Schizosaccharomyces pombe: one gene and its partner. Each later gene encodes a partner of the first gene's protein in a complex. Each region holds a gene or a part of one and is shown in the gene's direction. Other genes may lie near its edges.

What was found.
Region 2: the proteins of qcr2 (region 1) and qcr1 are in contact, whole or in part, in a cryo-EM structure (PDB 8Q1B), measured with the Schizosaccharomyces pombe proteins. Residues at the interface, in NP_587698.1 of Schizosaccharomyces pombe: Glu37 (codon at 2,254), Thr38 (codon at 2,257), Pro39 (codon at 2,260), Thr40 (codon at 2,263), Thr42 (codon at 2,269), Lys71 (codon at 2,356), Ala78 (codon at 2,377), Leu79 (codon at 2,380), Thr82 (codon at 2,389), Arg83 (codon at 2,392), Glu86 (codon at 2,401), Leu87 (codon at 2,404), Gly89 (codon at 2,410), Gln91 (codon at 2,416), Arg106 (codon at 2,461), Phe107 (codon at 2,464), Leu108 (codon at 2,467), Glu110 (codon at 2,473), Glu136 (codon at 2,551), Thr140 (codon at 2,563), Ile143 (codon at 2,572), Pro206 (codon at 2,761), Asp207 (codon at 2,764), Ala275 (codon at 2,968), Val276 (codon at 2,971), Lys277 (codon at 2,974), Trp278 (codon at 2,977), Ser279 (codon at 2,980), Gly281 (codon at 2,986), Asn282 (codon at 2,989); in NP_595827.1 of Schizosaccharomyces pombe: Ala15 (codon at 2,140), Thr16 (codon at 2,143), Thr17 (codon at 2,146), Ala18 (codon at 2,149), Leu19 (codon at 2,152), Pro20 (codon at 2,155), His38 (codon at 2,209), Gln42 (codon at 2,221), Thr43 (codon at 2,224), Glu69 (codon at 2,302), His70 (codon at 2,305), Phe73 (codon at 2,314), Lys74 (codon at 2,317), Lys82 (codon at 2,341), Glu85 (codon at 2,350), Leu86 (codon at 2,353), Phe88 (codon at 2,359), Glu89 (codon at 2,362), Asn90 (codon at 2,365), Thr91 (codon at 2,368), Gly92 (codon at 2,371), Ala93 (codon at 2,374), His94 (codon at 2,377), Leu95 (codon at 2,380), Asn96 (codon at 2,383), Ala97 (codon at 2,386), His109 (codon at 2,422), Ala110 (codon at 2,425), Phe111 (codon at 2,428), Glu146 (codon at 2,533).

The regions. Positions count from the first base shown.
Region 1 is NC_003421.2:94,576-98,859, forward strand, and holds qcr2 (ubiquinol-cytochrome-c reductase complex core protein Qcr2), read left to right. Parts: upstream 1-2,051; 5' UTR 2,052-2,145; coding exon 2,146-3,426; 3' UTR 3,427-3,635; downstream 3,636-4,284. Other genes in the region: tRNA-splicing endonuclease subunit Sen54, read left to right, coding at 156-256, 334-471, 541-1,456; protein meu23, read right to left, coding at 4,146-4,284. UniProt on the Schizosaccharomyces pombe protein: Component of the ubiquinol-cytochrome c oxidoreductase, a multisubunit transmembrane complex that is part of the mitochondrial electron transport chain which drives oxidative phosphorylation.
Region 2 is NC_003423.3:2,032,120-2,036,940, reverse strand, and holds qcr1 (MPP complex beta subunit Qcr1), read left to right. Parts: upstream 1-2,041; 5' UTR 2,042-2,097; coding exon 2,098-3,471; 3' UTR 3,472-4,099; downstream 4,100-4,821. Other genes in the region: TIM22 inner membrane protein import complex and succinate dehydrogenase (SDH) anchor subunit Tim18, read right to left, coding at 362-841. UniProt on the Schizosaccharomyces pombe protein: Catalytic subunit of the essential mitochondrial processing protease (MPP), which cleaves the mitochondrial sequence off newly imported precursors proteins. Preferentially, cleaves after an arginine at position P2.

The DNA.
Region 1 (4,284 bases):
TCTAGAAAGGGCATTGCAACAACCTCTAATTTTCATGTAAATTTTGACATATTACCTAGTTCGAAGAACTCCATTATTTTCAACTTACAAAGTGCATATCTGTCTTCTTCTTAAAGTCGCTTCTAACGACACTTCTTTGGAATTATAGTATTTCTATGGATGCACAGGATGAAGATAATCCATTTACGAATCTTGAAACTACTGTAGACGTCACAGAAGAAATTCAAGATTGGAGATTTTTATCAAATGTCGAAAAGTAAGTATTTCGACCATTCAGCCTCTTACTCGTTGTATAATTTTTCTAGAAATGTACTAATTTCATTAAAATAACAGAGACCAAGGGACATACACTATCCCAAAACGTGGACAAAAAGACTTTGAACCAGATGGCACCAATAAGCAACATTCTGCTCTCGACTTGAGCAGGAAGGCGATGTTTGATGCCCTTTCAGTGGAGAGATTAATATCGGCGTAAGTTTGAGAATGACCGCAATTTCAGTTACGTTAAAAATGTCATAAGCTAACGTGGATGGCATTTAGCAAACATGCAATAATAGCTACTTGGAATGCCCAAAATGGGATGTCTTGTGTTGAAAAGGCACATGGACCTTTGTTTAAAACCATGGGTACTGCTGACTCTCAAAATCGCATGTGGTTACTTCCAGAGGAGACTTTGTATCTTGTTGAACGTGGATCGATGGAATGCTGGTCAGAAGAAGGATTGCCAATGAGTTTGCAAGCAGTTTACTCAGCCTCTATTCCTTTATGTGGTAGCTTAGAAAATTATCTTGTTTATGCTCATTTACGGAGATGTGGTTTTTCGGTTATACGTTCAAACCTAGTTCCAGTAAAAGAAGATGAATATCGATGCGATTCGAAAATTATGAATTTCAAGGATTTATTGTTTTTAGGATTGGGAAAGGCTTCACAAATATTACAAACATTTAACTTTCGGAAACTAGCTTTTCCATTTTCAAAGCGGAGGAGGCAGTCTATCCTCTTACATGATACATTTTATACATACGAAGAAGTGTATCATGATTTGCAAATTGTCCGCGGTTATGTTCCAATCGCTTGTAATCTTATAACATCTTCAGATTCATTATTTCAAATCACATTTCACGCATACAAACCTTCAGCTTCATTCAAAAAATCGGCCTTATCAGAGCCTGATTTTAGGATATGTGTGGTTAGCTCTCAGGATACATTATTACCTACTATTTTTGAGATTGATGCGCTTTTTTCAAGTACTCCTCTTCGACAAAACATGCCACAGCATATGTTTCAAAGACTAAAGGAAGGGTACAGAAACATTATTATTGCAATTGTAGATTATGGAGTTATAAGCTACATTCGGCTATCGGATGTTTGTTTTGAAGAAAAAGTTTATACAGACTTCTCTAAAAAGGGATCTAAAAGGAAAAGGGTGAGTAAAAAATTTCAACAATTGGTCTAAAATAATATGTTCTCGCGGAAAAAAGGAGAGAAAAAAAAGTTCGGTGACATATCTTGAATTTACTATTAGCTAATCTTTGATGTCTTGGTCGTGGTTCACTAGTCTTTGAATCTAACCATTTCTGGGATTGGAATATTATCGTTGAAGCGTAAAACAGTTTCTTAGTGAAGTATAAAAGCTCAATAAGTGACATAACTTAAGTGGGGATTTTTTCTTAGTCTATAATACGTTATTTATTGTTTTTTAATAAGTTGATGTCGATTCCTAATTCATTACTAGACATTACTACAAGTAAAGTTGAAGGCTTAGCTTTTAAACAAATCCACATATAGTCTTTACAGATTGATATTTTTGCCTACAAGTTCTATAAAGCAATTCTTTTCCGCCATCAGTAGGTTTTTTTTAAGACGATCATATTCTGCACCATTGGCATTTGAAGCAGTCAAAACCATAATGAAATAAAAATCAAATTTCTTTTTTTGATTCATTAAATTGGAAGAACTTAAACGCTGCAAATCCTAGTTTCTCCATTATAACGCAACTGGCCAATTCAAACTTTGTCATATCCTCTTGCAGCCGATTTAGGCGGATCCCTAAGATACCCACTCCCAACTCCCACCTCTGTTGCAAGCAGCGTAATTTAGTAAACACCGATTAAAAACTTTTTCGAAAAGTCCTAAATAGGTAATATGAAGTCGTTTACAAGAAATTTAAGAAGATTTCAGACCCCGAGACGAAATTTGCATGGAATCTCTTATACACCAAAAAAAGTGGAAGGAGTTTCGTTTGCCGGGCGCGAGACACCTACTGCGACAGGTTCTTTATCCGTTGTGATTAACGCCGGAAGCCGTTATCAACCAGATGCTGGTGTTTCGCACCTTTTGGAGAAGTTTGCATTTAAAACTACGGAAGAGCGTTCTGCTTTACGGATTACTCGAGAATCTGAACTTTTAGGAGGACAGTTATCAACTCAAATCACTCGTGAGCACATCATATTAACAGCTCGTTTTTTGAATGAATATCTCGAATATTATGCCAGATTGTTGGCTGAAGTCGTTGATGCCACCAAATTCCTTCCTTTCCAGTTAACAGAAGAAGTTTTACCGACCGCTCGCATTGAGTCTGAACTGTTTAGGGAAGACATCCTTAGGGTCGCCATGGCCAAGCTTCACGAAAAGGCTTTCCACCGTGGCATTGGAAACGAAGTTTACCTTCCTGCTTCTGCCAGCCCTTCTATCTCTGAAATAAAAGATTTTGCTTCAAAGGCTTATGTTAAGTCTAACTTTTCCGTTATTTCCTCTGGTCCCGACGTTCAGAAGGCTTCTGACCTGTGTGCTAAGTATTTTGCCGTAATTCCCGATGGCAGTCCTTTGAAGTCAGCACCCACAAAGATTTCTTCTGGGGAATCACGTGTTTATTCCAAAGGAACCAATTATTTCTGTTTAGGATTTCCAGCTCCCGCTGCTTCTCCTGAGCTTTTTGTGTTGTCTTCTATACTTGGAGGAGATGCTGCCGTGAAATGGTCTCATGGAAACACTCTCCTTGCTAAGGCTGCTGGAACTGCTTCTGAATACAAAGCCACAGCTGTTGCTGATCTCACTCCTTATTCGGATGCCAGTTTGCTATCGGTCGTTATTTCTGGCAGTTGTCCAAAAGCTATTAAAGCTACTGCCTCTGAATCTTTCAAGGCCCTTAAATCATTATCTTCTAATATCCCCAATGATGTTGTTAAAAGTGGCATTGCAATGGCTAAGACTAAGTACTTGTCTGCTTTTGAACCTGTTACTTTGAACGCCATATCTGCTTCATCTTTAGTTTCTGCTTCAAAAGGATCTGATGCCTTTATTAGTGGTTTCGACAAGGTTACCCCCGCATCCATCTCTAAGGTGGTTTCATCTTTATTAGCCAAACCTGCTAGTACAGTTGCTGTGGGTAACCTTGACGTGCTCCCTTACTACGATGAGCTTTAGGATACTTCTCTACAAATCTTTTTTTTTATCGAAAATCTTTCTTTGAAAACTTTTTATACACCATAAGCTTAGGATGATGTTTTGAATTATTTTTTTTCGTAACATACTTCATTACTCAAATTCACAGTCCTGACGGATCGTCTTATGCTCTCCTTTAGGCAACAATGATTAATGTTATTTTCCAATGAATTAATACCAATAAATAATTTGGTAGTATTATTATGTATGATGACGATGTACTAATTTGTAAAGAAATTAAAAAATATATATTTATATATGCAATGCAACATTAAAATAATAGTTTCTCTCTTGAGATTTCATAAACAATAATGATAACTATCGCCATCAAGAGCGGTTAACTTATATTAACTTCAGATTTCTCATAAAACGGATTTTCGAAGACAGTATGTTATCGTCTTTATGCAAACATCATTTTTTAAAAATTAAATATGCAAGCCCATGGCATCTTATCTTAAAAATTTTACCTCACAAATCACCTAATTTGAATGCTTTGCTTTCGGTATGCTTTTTAATTCAACAATCACAAAGATTCAAGATTATTCAACATCAGGTAAACAAGAGTTATAAGTAGCTGGGTTGAACTCTTGAACGTTTCACTCCCAATAATTATATACATTTCCAATATAATAATACACGTGAATAAATAGTAAAAAAATATAAGCGATTAATTTTCGTCGAGTACTTTTCTGCCAGAATCGCTAATTAGGAAATCCAGAAAAAGGATACTCTCTGTCATACTCTGCCGATAGGCCGACCGCGCTAGCAAGTTTCTTCTTCATCCCAATAGTTTCGTTTACATGAAAAGTTACCCCATAGCCCTGTAAATATCGAGAACAT
Region 2 (4,821 bases), on another chromosome or scaffold:
TTGTCTTGGAAGAATTATTAATTCAAGTCGACATAAGGACCTTAACAAGAGCTGCCACAAACTTGAATAGTCTTCTAACCACTCCCACTAGAAAAATTATCGTTGAAGGTAAACATAAACATACTGTGCAAGCGCTAAACAGATTTACACAGATAAATTGAGAGGATCAATCAAGCCAGAAATCAAGAAAAGAGCAAAGATCAACTGCAGAATATCAATTGGCAGTTTTGGGGTTTGAACTGGTAAGTTTCAAGCCCAAAACTTACTAGATGACGGATTAAGGAGAATAAAAAAGAAAAAGGAAAGGAATAATCATTATGAAAAAATAAGTGGGGTTATATGGGTTTGCATGGAAAGAAGCTTAAGATTTCCAAAGCTTTTTAATACCCTCCGTAAGGCCAATATCATTCGTGTTGAACTCATAGACGCCAATAAGTGTAAGAACAGTACATCCACGTAAGATCCAGTGCATCAAAGGAGATAACTTCTTAAATCTTCTTGCAGGGAAGTAGTCAATCACACAAGATTCAAACCCCAAGTGGGCATGCGTAATCAAGGTGCAAGCCAATGCAGCGTCCATTAAGGGATGAGAAGTTCCGGTGAACAAAGGGATCATGACTTGAGGAACCATGGCAATAGCAATAATTCTTTCAAAGTCCCAATGATAGCTTCCGTGGAGCTTACTGTGGTGAGGGAAAACAGCAGCATCATTAACAGTTCCCTTAATGGTCTGAGGGGGAGGAGGGAAAATTTTCGCAACACTGGTTGTGCTAAAAGATTTAACTGCAAAAAGAAGACGTCCTTGACGAAGTGCTCCAAGTCCTAAACGTGTTTGTAACATATTGTTTGTAAACCAAGAAAAGCTGGTGGTGGTAGTAGGTGAGTTCGTATTGGCGGATCTTGTGTCCACATTATTGGCCATTCAACAGCTCGATGTGTTGAGCTTGGAGTGGCCGGAAATAGGCGATGAGAACCTAAATCTATCTACTCATAAACGAAAAATTGTATAACATAGAGTAAAGACTAGAAATTTAAATAGATATAATAGATTAATAAGTTTATTCAGAAGAATCTCCGGTCTTTAAGGTCGTTTCAAAACCTGGTTATTACTTTTTATAATAATATTATTCACTGCTGAAAACGAATTACCTTCTACATATAATATTACATGGGTTTTGTGGTGAGTTTGAATATCTATTATAATATTACACAGTACCAAAAGTTACTGCAGTTTCAAAAAAAATTTTACGGAAAGCACTACATTGTGAAAAAACAATAATCTACTGTAAATCTTTTTACTTAATAATATAATATAGATAAAGCTATAGAAATTTACTTGTAGCAATTATGCTAATATAAAGGTGCTGCATTGGCTTAAAAAAAGGTTAGAGAAACGGTTTTAAGAGGATGAAAATTTTATTTAAATTAATATCATTTATATAAAAAACTATTCTCATAAAAAGAAACCATCAAGCTACTCAATAGTCGATGTATAACAATGCTTGATTCGGTGCTAGTCAAAATTCTATAGTTGGACTGTTATTTTTTTAAAAATGTATTAACCGAAATATTGTAATGGAAATCATGGAAAAGAGAATTTCGTTAAGTATAAATAACCTTTTAATGTAGATGAATACGAACTTAACCTGATGAAGTGTCTTACCCTGTCTGATTCAATGTCATATAGATTCTTTTCAATATACCGATGAAACAATATATCCCCTACATAGTTTTTTACCAATGAGATTCTCCATGTTAAGTAGAGATATATTATATCATGAACTGGATTGTACGGTCATTCGTTTCCTTCCTTTATAGCAAATTGCGCACAGGGCAAAGACTAGGCAATCCGAAAGTTTCTGTTTGAATGGTCAACTTCTTATTTTTCTCTACATGGAAATTCTAGTAAGGGATTCAAGGATTGCTAGTTTTCTTTTTTTATTAAATGGGATCAATTGGTCATTTGCCGAAATTCGAACTTGGGACCTCGATAACACGTATTACGCTACACCTCTACGGAATACCTTCTTGCTACCTACTTACCCTTTACCATCCACAGAATCCCACCCAACCAAAGGAGCTTGAATTGATATTACTATGCTGAGGCTTCAGAATTTGCCAAAGCTAGTACGTCGTTTTGCGACTACTGCTTTACCAAAAACAGAAACCACTACTTTAAAAAATGGGCTTACAGTTGCTACGGAACATCATCCGTATGCCCAAACAGCGACCGTCCTTGTGGGCGTTGATGCTGGCTCAAGAGCTGAGACGGCAAAAAATAATGGCGCTGCTCACTTTTTGGAACATTTGGCGTTCAAAGGAACGAAAAATCGCTCCCAAAAAGCATTGGAATTGGAATTTGAAAATACTGGTGCACATTTGAACGCATACACCTCTCGTGAACAAACCGTTTATTATGCACATGCGTTCAAAAACGCTGTACCTAATGCAGTTGCCGTTTTGGCCGATATCCTGACAAATTCAAGCATTTCTGCCTCGGCGGTTGAGCGTGAACGCCAAGTCATCTTAAGAGAGCAAGAAGAGGTTGACAAAATGGCCGATGAAGTAGTCTTTGATCATTTACATGCTACCGCTTATCAGGGTCATCCTCTTGGACGTACAATTTTGGGTCCTAAGGAAAACATCGAATCTCTTACCCGTGAGGACCTTCTCCAGTATATTAAGGACAACTACCGTAGTGATAGAATGATTATCTCTTCTGCCGGTTCGATATCTCATGAGGAGCTTGTAAAGCTCGCCGAAAAATATTTTGGCCATTTGGAGCCTTCAGCTGAGCAATTGTCGCTTGGTGCTCCTCGTGGACTCAAACCTCGTTTCGTCGGGTCTGAAATCCGTGCTCGTGACGATGATTCACCAACTGCCAACATTGCCATTGCTGTTGAAGGTATGAGTTGGAAACACCCAGATTACTTTACTGCATTAGTCATGCAAGCCATCATTGGTAACTGGGACCGTGCTATGGGAGCATCTCCCCATTTGTCTTCTCGTCTTAGTACTATTGTTCAACAACATCAACTTGCCAATAGCTTCATGAGTTTCAGTACTAGTTATAGTGATACTGGACTTTGGGGTATTTATCTTGTCACTGAGAACCTTGGCCGTATTGATGATCTCGTCCACTTTACCCTCCAAAACTGGGCTCGTTTAACCGTTGCAACTCGTGCTGAGGTTGAACGTGCCAAGGCACAACTCCGTGCTTCGCTTTTACTTTCTTTGGATTCAACGACCGCCATTGCAGAGGACATTGGTCGCCAATTGCTTACAACTGGTCGTCGTATGAGCCCTCAAGAGGTTGATCTCCGTATCGGTCAAATCACTGAAAAAGATGTAGCCCGCGTTGCTTCCGAGATGATTTGGGACAAGGACATTGCTGTTTCTGCTGTTGGTTCCATTGAGGGTTTGTTGGACTACAACCGTATTCGTAGCAGTATTTCTATGAACCGTTGGTAAACGCATTTTCTTGGGACTTTTGACTATTGTCTATTATTTAATCTTAAGGCTCATCCTTTGCTATTGTTTGTTAACGCCTTTATGATTTCGTCTGCCTCTTCGCTCTCTTCAGATATATGAGCTGAATTCACCAATATACGTTGTTTACGTGTTGATCAGTACTATCACCGGTTGGATATGAAGCTGTTTGCACACAAGTAATATCATTTCAGTAGATGAGAGCATACCAGAGTTGTTTATAGTGCAAAGTCGGTTGCTTACTGCATCACCTTTGAAAACCCCCTTTCTTCAGAGTTAAACTTTTCTCTCATTTATTATCTGTCAAGGTGTATTGCTCGGACACTTCTTATACTGCCTTTGCATTCATTTTTGCTTGCAATTTATCCTCCCGTGATATTCCTTGTCATCTTATTTTTCTATCTCCCTTCTCATTTAGCAGTCTCTTGAAAATCTCTTTTACTTTCTTGCTTTCTTTCTAGCAACTATTCACTTTATCGCTGATTTAGCGGAAACCGCTTACTAACCTACCCATGTTTACAAATGAAACGGATTCGTTCGTGTTGTAAAATTTATCGACATAACTTTGAATGTTACAGAGTTAATCTGAATTCATTCTTCCTTTTTTGTACCTTTTTTCTTGGGCGCTTGCTCGTAATTAGCAACTTGCGTTAAAATTCATGTAGTAGTAAGTCGACTTGATAATGTAGTTATGTAGTTTTATTTTATAAAAATAGATTTTTGCGAATAATCGTCGAGCATTCCGTTCAATTCATTCAATCACTGCGAGGGTTTATCGGGTTAATCTTCTGTAAGGAATATCGGCTTTTATGGAGTTAAAAATTGGTATGAACATTTTCCATTTGCATAAGCGAAAAAAACACGAATGTTTGTTTATTGAAATCGTTCGCACGATAGTGGAAACCAAAACATATATGGCAAAAAGCCTACAGCACCCCGGATTCCCATGTTGTCTCCAACCATAGTACTAACGAGGCCCTCAGACGCTTAACTGCAGTGATCGGACGGGAACTGGTGTTTTCGCCTAGGTATGGCCGTAGACGTTTGTCAAAAAATTTAACAAGATATATAGTGTAAGAAAAGATAAGAGGTATTTTAAATTTTGTTAAAAGCTTCAACATGATTTTTGAAAGAATTTTCAATGAGCACAATAATAAAATAACTGGTAGTACTCGTTTAACTGTGTATATACAAAATATATTTACACAAAAATATATCCGGTCAGGGAGGGACTCGAACCCTCGACCTCACGATTAACAGTCGTGCGCAATAACCAACTATGCTACCCGACCTTGGATGTCTGTAGATATATTTTAAACATATATATCTTCT